2 linked regions of the Arabidopsis thaliana genome follow. The protein of the gene in region 1 interacts with the protein of each later gene in a pairwise test. Each region holds a gene or a part of one and is shown on either strand. Other genes may lie near its edges.

What was found. Proteins that work in one complex are often made in the same cells at the same time.
Region 2: the proteins of AT5G52530 (region 1) and SR30 interact in a two-hybrid assay, tested with the Arabidopsis thaliana proteins (one large-scale study listed by BioGRID).

The regions. Positions count from the first base shown.
Region 1 is NC_003076.8:21,315,491-21,321,778, forward strand, and holds AT5G52530 (dentin sialophosphoprotein-like protein), read left to right. Parts: upstream 1-1,639; 5' UTR 1,640-2,024; exon of another isoform or gene 2,025-2,519; intron 2,520-2,670; 5' UTR 2,671-2,724; coding exon 2,725-2,907; intron 2,908-3,000; coding exon 3,001-4,316; intron 4,317-4,404; coding exon 4,405-5,392; 3' UTR 5,393-5,777; downstream 5,778-6,288. Other genes in the region: AT5G52540 (keratin-associated protein, putative (DUF819)), read right to left, coding at 6,182-6,288.
Region 2 is NC_003070.9:2,942,038-2,947,597, reverse strand, and holds SR30 (SERINE-ARGININE PROTEIN 30), read left to right. Parts: upstream 1-1,621; 5' UTR 1,622-1,779; coding exon 1,780-1,866; intron 1,867-1,989; coding exon 1,990-2,055; intron 2,056-2,141; coding exon 2,142-2,216; intron 2,217-2,295; coding exon 2,296-2,398; intron 2,399-2,483; coding exon 2,484-2,530; intron 2,531-2,637; coding exon 2,638-2,695; intron 2,696-2,818; coding exon 2,819-2,868; intron 2,869-3,011; coding exon 3,012-3,068; intron 3,069-3,141; coding exon 3,142-3,254; intron 3,255-3,351; coding exon 3,352-3,429; coding exon of another isoform or gene 3,430-3,442; exon of another isoform or gene 3,443-4,033; coding exon of another isoform or gene 4,034-4,070; exon of another isoform or gene 4,071-4,371; coding exon 4,372-4,429; intron 4,430-4,696; coding exon 4,697-4,711; 3' UTR 4,712-5,060; downstream 5,061-5,560. Other genes in the region: AT1G09150 (pseudouridine synthase and archaeosine transglycosylase (PUA) domain-containing protein), read right to left, coding at 1-41, 143-210, 307-388, 989-999; AT1G09130 (ATP-dependent caseinolytic (Clp) protease/crotonase family protein), read left to right, coding at 5,381-5,560. UniProt on the Arabidopsis thaliana protein: Regulatory splicing factor that modulates alternative splicing and gene expression in specific cell types. Autoregulates its own expression. Probably involved in intron recognition and spliceosome assembly.

The DNA.
Region 1 (6,288 bases):
TAATTCATAATTTTAAGGTTTGAACATGAATAACATTTCAACCTATGAAAGTTTAGAAATCATTTGATAAACTTTTATATTCATTATAGCAATTTAATTCTTGAAAATTGGTAATCTTAGATTCCTTTGACTAATCAAAAACTTGGTAATGTTGAGATATATATAAGTGATCAATCTAGTGAGGGGGTGGCCATACATAGGTGTATTAGTGCTTATGAGTTGGTAAGAAATATAGTCTCAAGAAATCTCTTCTTCTCTTCTTTAGTCTCCGCATGATTATTATCTCGACATAATCATGTAAAAGATTTATGATTTAATATAAAACTATTACATAGATGATTTGTTTTAATATATATTTTTTCTAAATATTCTAGATACCGGAACTTTCGAGAAAGAGATAATATCACAAAAAAACAGCAAATAGTAAGGTAAAATTTTCATTATTCTTATTTAAACATTTTTTTTAATAACATATGGATTCACCCAAATGTTATAATATCCATGGATATAGATATCCATATTATATAAGATTTATGAAAGTATATCTTTGTATTTAATTTTTTTTATATAAGTCACATAATATGAGAACAATATTTTCTAAAACTATACAAAATAGATTATATAAATCTTGAAAAAGACCATGTATTTTGATTTAAAGATTAAGATCTCTGGATGTTCATCTTCATATTTATTTTTGTATTATATATTTATATTGTAATTAGTTTTTGTTATTTATAATATCAACAAATTCAGATCCGGATAATTGTTTCTCGAGGTAATTCGAATCGGAACATCTCGAAATTTTAAAGTATCTAGTTCTGTGTCGACTTTATTGTATTATATCATTATTTACACACAGGAAATAAGTTCTAAGCATATGATATTTTCAGTAGCAAAACTTTTTCTTATATAAGCTATTAAATATTTTTTTTCATAAAATATACTTTCAGTTTTTAGAAAATTTATAATTGGTAAAAATTTATTTACAAAGAGCGGGAGCCAGGAAAAAAGAATTGTTATTATTTCAAGTGTAATTTTCTTAAACGTTGACATTTTTTTTGATTATATACTATACATTGATCAAAATACACACGTGCAAAATTTTAATCTAATCATTAATAAATTTGATCTTTTTTATTTTACCGTTACGTTTGAAATTATAATATAACGATGATTATTATTTTCTATATATCAAACCAAAAATAGCTATTTATACAATCCAAATCTTTTTCTTTTTTTAATCACACAAATCATTAACATTTGATGAAGTTGTTTCTTTTTCAATCTCCATCAAGATCATTAAAAATATCATTTTACAATAAAAAAAAATTAGGGGTTAAAACATAAATAAAACAGAAAGTATAGGGGACAAATAACACAAAAACACCACCACGTCCGCCACCAAAAGTTTTAACTTTCACACGAAGCTAGCCATGTCACTCTCTGCTCTTCTTGACCATTGACTTTTTTTAGAGATACAGAGATATGTCTTACTATTTAATTTCCTCATTTTGCAAAATGGTAAGAACGAAAAAGAATACCGTCATTGAGGGTAAAACCGTAAATATTAGGATACAAACGAGGGCAATTTAGGTATAAAAGAGGATGATAAATACGTGGTAATAGGTCACCACCACCAAGCTCTTCTTATGTTCATCCCAAAAAAGCTTTAATAAAAAAATAATCGTTTCTCTATGAAGAAGAAGACGACGACGGAAGAGGAAGACCTAGCATCGCCGACGATTTATTTTTGAATTTTCTTAGTCTAAGATATCTCCGGCGAGGAGACGTAGATTCATCGATCTAATATTCATCGATCTCGTTCTTGTGGCTTTTTAAATCGCCCAGACTTTTAAGAGACGCTGGATTTGATATCCGAGAAGAGCCGTTTGATAAATACGTAATCGATTCGAGCGGTGGATAGTGAAATTACGGCGGAGGAGTTGAATCGGATCTCGGTGGTGGTGTGTTTCTGTATTTGAGTGAGGAGGAAGGAGAAATATAAAAAGTAGGTGGAGACTCAGGTATATGAAAACCCTAAGTTCTTTGATTACTACTGCTCTTTGTTTATTGGTTCAATCAAGGAGAGATCTGTTTTGCTTATGGACGTCAATGGAAGATCCCTTAGGCTGCGATACGCTTCGAATATTCTTTTCGCCATGGAAGATCCCTTAGGTTTCTGCAATTTTCTTGGGAGATCTCTTAATCATGAGAACGATTTCTTTTTAACTCATCTTCCTCAGGAACTTAGTGGACATGAGTCTAGCCTTTACCCTTCTGATTTGGCTCATCTATATGATAGAATTAGGACACGATGATACTCTGATTTTGGGCAAGTTTAATGGATCTTGGCTTCACGCGGCCATTCAAGTTTTTCCAGAATCTTCGATTTGGCCAAGGGCAGTGATCTGAAGTCAGATTTAATCGGACTAGAAACATGAATAAATACTTGTTTTGTATGCTTTTAATGTCAAAACTCTGGAGGTTTTTTTCAGACTTATAGCGCAATCTGTCTTAAGGTAAAGGCTCATAGAGTCTTTAACTTGACTGTCTAGCTATGAAGTTTTTTTGCCTGCAGTGACTCTATTATTGTATACTAGAAGTAGGCAATAGCTCTTGCTTATGTTTTTTTTTTAATATGGTTTACTAATGAAAGGTTATTGCTTGCAGGTGAGGTAAGCGTTCATAAAACAAAAATCAAGTTTTGTGGGAGTGCATTGAAGCATGACAAGCAATAAAGGTGCTATCATCCCTCCAGAGCTTCCTTGGAAACCGGTGGCTAAAGGTAGCAGAAGTTCAACAAGGCGTGGCAAGAAACTAGTTAAACGAGTTGCAGCTTCAGATATTGAGTCAGAAGACAAGAGTTCAACACACACACTAGTAGCAGGAGAATCAAAGCGTCCAAAGGTTCCTCTTTTACTTTTTGTGCTTTCTTTCTTGATTTTGTTAGGAAATTTCTGGTCTCTTGATTTTAGTTTTTATTCTTTCTATTTATTGCAGCTTGGCGTTTCTGTTCTAGGTCAGCATTTCGTTGAAAGAGTAGAGCATGTTCCGATTAAGAAACGGATATTTGTGGTTAGCTCTCCATCACCATCACCATCATCATCAAAGAGGTCATCTGCTCAACGTGAAGGCTCAGAACATAAGGCACAGATCAACCATGTTTTACCTGTTTCGAGATTAAACCCTAATTTGGTCTCAGACGTCCGTGATGAAAAGCCTGATTACAGTGTTCATGACTTTTCTGGTATCAAGATACTTGCTGATGCTGCTTGCAGTACTGATGTGAGTAATGATTTTGCACCAGCTGTAGACCGTCTGCCTGCTGAAGAATTTGCTGTTCAGCTACAAGATACCTCAACCATATCAACTCATGTTGAAGGTAACGATTCATCAGCTGGAACTGCTGATGTCTCGCATACTGCGGTTGATTCCGGTGATCAGAGTGGCCAAGGAAAGAGCAATATTGTAGCGCCTCAGAAACATCCTCTAACAAATTTGTGCAATGAGTTGGCTGATGAGCAGAGTGTAGAGCACAGCAGAGTAACCTCTGGAGGGATTATAGCACCTAAAAAAACCTGCATTGCTCTTTCAAATGAATCCTCAACAGAAAGACCAAAGGATAATGTAGAAGCAAGTGAAAGTGAACCTTTAGCACCTGATAGTGGAGCTGTAACGGTGTCAGAGAAATTATCAGCCGATGAGCCAACTGAAAAAAACAATGAAGGCCTTAAAGATGTTAAATTTCTCTGGGATTTAAATATTCCTTGTGATGTAGAAGATGAAGCGTCTCGAAGAGATGAAGAGGGAGAAATCACAGAGTCTATTGCCCCTAAAGGGAGCGAACCTTTTGATGGAAGTAAACACAGTATGGATGGGGTAATTGCATCAGATGAACATACAAAATTTTCATCACCATCTAAGCCTAATGATGAAGCAGCTGCTACAAATGACAAGGATTGCCAATCTGGTTATGACTCCCAGTTTGAGGATGGAGAGTTGAGGGAACCATACCCTTGGGAAGAAAATGAAGAGGTTGAACAGTTGGATTACGGTTCTGAGCCAGAGGATGAGAGATTCTACTCTATGGGTTCTGAGAAGGGAATCTTGACAGATGAGAATTTCAGTCATGTTAAGTGTGAATCTGGTGATGCACTGAGAGTTGGGCAGGCTAATGAAGGAAGTGACATAGAGAAGCAAGCTGTTGTAAACATGAGCGATTCACATCCTAAGAAGGGCTCTTCTTCTCCTTCAAGGAGTTTTGGTTCAAAACCATACAAGGAGGTGCCTTCACATGATGCAATCCAGAGGAGAAGGCAAGTTTGCTTTCCCTGAGCCTTTTTTTTTGGTCAAACGCTTATTAATAATTTGTTAGTAACTGAGTCATGGTTCTTTATGATTCAGGCCTGATACTTATGAAGAGGTGAGCACGGGTCCAGATAGGTTTGCTCGGAGAGACGACAGGTCAGGGATGCGTATGCGTAATCGGAGTCCTCAAAGAGGGTATTTTAGTGGTTGGGATTCCAAACGACGCTTCTCCCCTCCTAATTACAAAGATGGTTCTTATGGTTCCGGGCGTCCATGGCATAAAAGAATGGCAGATGATCGAGGTATGATGAACGGCTTTGATGAGTCAGGGTCAGGACAAGGACCAGGACCAGAACCAGAACCAGAGGGTTATGTTCGTAGGCAATTCTCAAATGGTGGATACAGAGGTCGGTTTAAGAGATTCCCAGATGGTGGGGATCGTAAATTCAGGGGCCCATACACTGATACAAACCAATTTTCTGGTCGGATGCACAACCGGATGAGTGGTAATAGGAGAGAGAGAGGTGGCTCTCCGGTTGTCAGGAGATTGCACCACCCGCAATCAGAGTCAAGATCCAGAAGCCGTTCTCCAGTCTTGTGGAATGGCCGTAACAGATCACCTCCTCCTCCTCCAGGTGGGTTTAGAGCAGACGAGAGGATGACGGAAAGAGTGAGGCTGCCTTTCCAGAAACGGTTTCCTGCAGATCAGGAGATGGGTTATATGTCACCTCCGAGAAACAGAATGTCGTCGCCGAGGTTCTTTGAAGGGAGGAATAATGGTGCTGGAGAGAATTATAATAGCTTCAGAGAAAGGAAGTTCCGGCCTGGACAGAGATTTTATGTCGGAAATTCCATGAGAAGACCGAATTCTGACAACAACAACTTAAGACCATTTATTCCGAACAGAAGATTTGACAATCCGGAAGAGAGCACTGGTGGGAACAGGTTTGAGATGACTCAGCAGCGAAGGACTCGACGGTCTGAGACCACAGAAGATGGAGGTGATGTTATTCGACGGTTCAAGTTTAATGAAGAACAACAGTCAGTGGTGGTAGCCAACGACAACAACAACAAAGAGTCATGATAACAGATAACGTAAGAGACTTGTTTGGGTTCTTTCCAATAGAATCTCTCTTATGTTAGTTTAGATTTGTTTGTTATGTTTGTTATCCTAATTTTATTTTAGGAAGAGGTAAGAAAAATGCCATGGCGTCATCTGTTACGTTTATGACTGCTGGTATTTTTGTTTTCTTTTAAATTTTCTCATTTTCTTTCTACAGAGTTTTTAGGGTTTTCTAGGCTTAATTTGATGCTGTTTTCCTTTTCTGGAAATGATTTCTATATTTGTAGAAAATCAACAAAATGAAATCAATATCTTTTTTTCTTACCATATTTGTAGCTCAAATGAATTTTGTCAATAAAAAATGAGAAAAATAGCACCAATCTTGAGATGGTACAAGGACAAACTTATACGTACTTCCTACATTACTATATGGTTCTTAGCAGCTTTTAGATATTTTGTTGCTTTGGTTTTGGAGAGTAGAAAAGTATTTACGAAAAGAAAGGAAAAAGACTTGCGGCACTGTCTACACTGAGAAGAGGTCATAACCTGCAAGTAAGGCCCAAAATAATAGAAAGAGATAGTAATGAGCTACGTGGTATGAAACAAATTCATTCGAAGGTACAAAGCCTCAAAATAAAACACAGTAAGGAACCCTTTGGCAAATTAAGCCAACTTGAAATTTTGTGGGGTTTACAATATAAATCAATATATATATATATATATATATATATATATATATATATATATAGAGAGAGAGAGAGAGTGAGCACTGAGCAGAGTCAGGTCCATAGTTTAGTTATACTACCATCTTCACATGAACTTAAGAACTTTAACTCCAAATGCAATTCCTATGAAAGTTGCAATGGCGATCCCAAATATTCCGGCCAGAATCCCGGGAACTATCAACGAGTTCCATC
Region 2 (5,560 bases), on another chromosome or scaffold:
GGGGGACATTGTTGACAACAACTAGGGTCAGATGGTTTGGGCTGCACGAGAAATATAGTCAGGAATACTGTAAGACATAGATAGTGGGTAAAAGAAAATTCAGAAAACAAAACAATGAATATGAGTTTGTTAATTTACAGACCACTTCACTACGATAAGAGGAATCTTTTTGGGAAGTAGATCCTCCATCACTGATTCAAGTCCCGGGTACTGCAACATTAACATAAACATATTTATATCTGACAAACTTCACGAAATCATAAAAGTTTAAGAAGGGGAAAAAGACAAATGAAACAACAGACATACCTCATCTTGGATACTCTGGCGGATCCTACGTTGAACAGATGCCTTCACTTGGTTTTGTGATGAAATCTCCTCCAAACAAAACCTAAATAAAAAGTAGTGAACATAAATAACACCTTCATAGACATAATGGTATATCAAATAGATCTAAAGTTGATAGCAGTAGGGAAAAATAAACTTTATACAAGATTCACTATGAATGTATAAGCATGTTTCAGGAGATGGATAAACACAAACTCCATGATAGTAGAGAGTTTAGACTGGTCAAATCAAGACACAAACTTTCCTCTATGACCCACGACTCTTTGTACAGATTTGATAAATCAAATAGTGACACTATCAATATAGAAACCAAAACTTTACAATAGCAAGATGTTAGCTTTTGAGAACTCAAAACCTTCTACTTTGAAGAAAATATAACAACCAATATGCCCATACCAAGGCTACTCTAAGCAATCAAATTAACAATGTGGTCGACAACAAGTAGAAGGGAGTGAGTTCTCGATAGTTATTAGAGTAAGTGGATACTAAATAAAGAGACCATCACATTCTTTATCAACTAGTATAAACAATGCCGAGATGTTGAAACCACTAATTCTTAGATTCTACAATCCGGGTATGAAAAACAGTTTCTATCTAAATAAAAAAGTAGAGAAAGAATCTAGAAAGAGACAAAGATGCTTACTTCTTAAACATGTTCGAGGTTTATTGAAAATGATCACCAGCTTCTAACTATGGTATCTTCTTCCCTGCAAGCGAACAGTGGAAGATGATTGATAACGGAAATATCGGAACATCACTCAACAAACCAAAAATTTGGACATCATATCGCAACAAATTCAATAGGAAAAATACTGAAATTCCAAAACAGAAAAACCAAACGGAACAGAGCAGGAACTCACGGACTGAGAGAGACCGTGGACGGTGTCACGGCGGAAAATGGTCTTGGACGGAGTTACTAATCGGCGAATTGAGATTTGAGAGGTGGTAGTAGAGGAACCGAGAGAATGTTTCTCTCAAAAAAATCCCCAAGTGTTTCCGATCTAGTGTCTCTTTTGTCCAAAAACGACAGTGTTTAGGAAACCTAGGAGAATGAATGACCCGATGGTCCGAATCCGATTCGAAATTGGTTCGAATTGTAATAACTAACATACAATATTCCGGTTTGAATGATAAGAAAAAACACATTCGATCCGGTTAGAACAATATATTAACAGGCCCATTAAAACATATGGGCCGATCTTGATCAACTGGGCTATTCATCGTTGATACATGCGGCCGCACAGGATTAAAATCCAGTTCCGTTTTATAAAAGGATACTAGTTTCCAAACGAACGGTGGTTGTCTCCTTTCCAGAACAATCTAACGCTTTCTCGAACATCTTCTTCTTCTTCTTTCTCGAAATTATTTTTCCAGTAATCAATTTCTTCTCTTCTAGATTTTTACAGGAACTAATTTTCTGCTCTGAGGTATCAGATGAGTAGCCGATGGAATCGTACGATCTACGTTGGGAATTTGCCTGGAGATATTCGCAAGTGTGAGGTTGAAGATCTCTTCTACAAGGTTTGAAAATTCCTCTTTTCTCTCGATAAAAATTGAATTCATTATGACTTGTTTGGGTTCATAAATTTGCAATTCTGTCTTGCTGAGACAATTTAAATCGACTCTTATGTATATTTGTTTCAGTATGGACCAATTGTGGACATTGATTTGAAGATTCCACCGAGACCTCCTGGTTATGCCTTTGTCGAGGTATATTGATCAAGTACAAATTTGTTTTTTTCTTCTTCTTGTAATAGTATAGGCTAATGACTAAGATAGTTTGTTATTGGTGGCAGTTTGAAGATCCTCGTGATGCAGACGATGCAATTTATGGACGTGATGGTTATGATTTTGATGGGTGTCGACTTCGGGTTAGTAAACGCATGATGAAAGCTAGCTTAATTTTCTGTAATTTCTTGTAAAGGTGTTATCTTTGTGTGATGTTTTTAGGTTGAGATTGCACATGGTGGTCGTAGATTTTCACCATCAGTTGATAGGTACAGCAGCAGCTACAGTGCGAGCCGTGCACCTTCAAGACGCTCTGACTACCGCGGTTTGTAGAGTCTTCTCGATTGTGTTATTTGGTGTTGTGTAAAATTTTATATTTGAAAACTCATTTTTACTACCTAAACATGTAGTGCTTGTGACCGGATTACCGCCTTCTGCTTCGTGGCAGGACCTTAAGGTAAGGGACACTATATAGTCTTTTTCTCTGAATGTTGGTTCTCTATATCATGTTTTGGATTTATCTCTTTTCTGAAATGATGTTATTTGCTATTTACGGGTGATTAGGATCACATGCGCAAAGCTGGAGATGTCTGCTTCTCTGAAGTTTTCCCTGACCGTAAAGGTGAGTTGACATTCGATAGTTTGGATAAGCTTTTGATTGATGTGTTAGTAAATTAGTCTTTGTGAAGGAGAATAGGTGTTAAGCATCTGAACTGCTAAACTCACATTCAGTATTTCTTTGTAGGCATGTCTGGGGTTGTGGATTATAGCAACTATGATGATATGAAGTACGCAGTAAGTTTTATATCTTTGCAACGCAAATGTTCCTGGACTTATGCCTTAGACTGCTTTTGTTTCATAGTATACCGAGCTGAATTTATCTTCCTGGAGGCCAGTGTTGGATCTTTGATGTTCCCTTAAAATTTTTGATGTGACAGATAAGGAAACTTGATGCCACTGAATTTCGAAATGCTTTCTCTAGTGCTTATATACGGGTATGTTGTATTGCTTTCTTTGATTTTGTTAAGCATAAGTGGATATGGAGTCATCTCTGAATTTACTGTTCAGGTGAGGGAATATGAGTCGAGGAGTGTGAGTCGAAGCCCAGATGATTCTAAAAGCTATAGAAGCAGGAGTCGGAGCCGTGGTCCAAGCTGTAGCTATAGTAGCAAGAGCAGGAGGTCTTTTTTTTTTTTTTTTTTTCATAAACCTAAGACATATAAGGGATTTTTATTGTAACTTATTTATGAAATTAACTGACTTCTAAATGCAATGCAGTGTGTCACCTGCTAGATCCATTTCCCCGCGTTCACGGCCCCTTAGTCGTTCTCGCTCGCTATACAGCTCTGTCTCAAGGTATGAGTGTTAGATTTGTATCATTATTATATATGTAGTTACCCCTTCATGGATCACTTGTTCTTGCATAGTGAACTCCTTACTAGCTTTATTACTTACAACTAAGCACCTTTTGTTGCTTCCGTACACAGTTGAATTTGTTTGAGTCTTTTTTCCCTCATAGTGGACTAGTCTATTGTCACTTGATTTTCTTCCTTTGTTGATGTTTTCTATGTCATGCAAACTCCAATATGGGTAAAGGTTACCTCCTTGTTTGGGATTACCAGAGTTCCTTTTCATTTCTTACACGTGAATGTGTTTGTTTTTTATGTTTTGAGTTCTTGACAGAGATGCTCCCATCATATTTAGTCCTTTTCCTTTCTCTTTGTGTCGTTCTCTTCTGGATGTTTCCTTCTGATAAAGCTTTACTTCTTAACTTTTTTCCAGCGACGGTGAATTTATTACGTATCAATCTTCATTATCCGACTTATAATTTAAAGAACACTTAGCTAGATGTTTCACTTTTTGAAAATTTATTTCTATCGGAAGGGGGAAGATGGATTTCTGAGGCATGTCCTCGATCATTTACCGTGATTACAATTGTATTGCGTTGTTTGTTTTCTAGATCTGGCTCACTGCTACGAGCTGGGGATTGGATCTAGATGGGTCATCTAGATGGATTCTTGGACTGGATTTACAAAGCTGGATTAGCATGAACTTGAACTTCTGTTTTTACGGTCTGGTCTGGTCTGGTACTCCGCGCGTATCAGCTGTAGGATCTGATCGCAAAGTTTTGGACTATGATTACTCTGATTCCTCAATATATTTATCTTTTTGACAATAGTGGATTCTGTGTTGAGTTCTTTTCTAGGACAGCATTTAAGCTCCCGGGACTAGATGGGAGATGGTCAGTAAATTTCTTTGTTATGCCACACTTACATGGGGTTTTTGGTCTTGCTGCAGGTCCCAATCAAGATCAAAATCAAGATCAAGATCAAGATCGAATTCTCCAGTTTCACCTGTAAGTCTAAAAGCTGAACCTTCTTTAATTCACAATCCATGGTGTTTGTTTAAATACCTGCTCACTTTGGTTGTTCTTCAATCAACACCAACTTAACGAAATCATGAGACAGACTATAAAATTTGAAGAGTCTTAGAACGACTAGGTCTCACCAACCTCTGTGTGCACTAAAAATCGCCTCTCCAAGTGTTTCAGCAACATAATCTACCTCTGTCATGTGTTATCATTTCTTCTTCTCTTAACGGTATTACATATTATGTTTTGCAGGTGATATCTGGTTGAAAATGAAAACTGGCCACTGGCTGTACCCGAATCGTCTCAAGCTTCTCAGGCTCCACTGCTAATAGAATTTGATTCCGATTTGGGATTATTATACTGGTCTTCTTGTATGGGACGACCAATATGTCTTTCTAGTTTTAGTTGTGAACCTGGAATTGGTCTGTTATTGTGTCATTAAAAAGCCGGAAACTCTGTCTCGGCTGCATAATAAAGTTCATCAGACATTGTGTTGGGTGTGGTGAGGTTTTTCCATACATATACATTTACATTACAACTACTGGTGTCTTTTATGATTATCTTAAACTAAACTTGCAGTGTTAAAACTAAACTTGCTTTTGTTTTTGGATAAGATCACTCTAAAACGGTACAACCCCTGCCTGTATCCTACCAACAGTAACAACACACTACAGCTCATAGGCCATAGCACCAGAGTTTTGTGTAAACGAAATGGCCCAGAATAATTGCAATTTGGTCCGAAAGTAAAGTCTATTGCGACTGGGCCTGTTCCCTAAAATGTGATTTGGGCTATAGCCGGAATATCAAATAGCGGGTCAACCCGAAACCCGACCCAGTAATTATTCTCTCCCCTCCGAAAGCATCGATAAATCCTCTGGTTTCCTTTGTCCAACGAGTCCATTTTCGCGAGCTTCCGTGTCCAAGAGCTCCTCGACCATGGCGTCTTGTTTACAAGCATCCATGAATTCTCTGCTTCCACGCTCTTCTTCTTTTTCTCCTCATCCTCCTCTATCTTCGAATTCATCCGGGAGAAGAAACTTGAAGACTTTTCGTTACGCCTTTCGCGCCAAAGCCTCTGCCAAAATCCCTATGCCTCCGATAAATCCAAAGGATCCT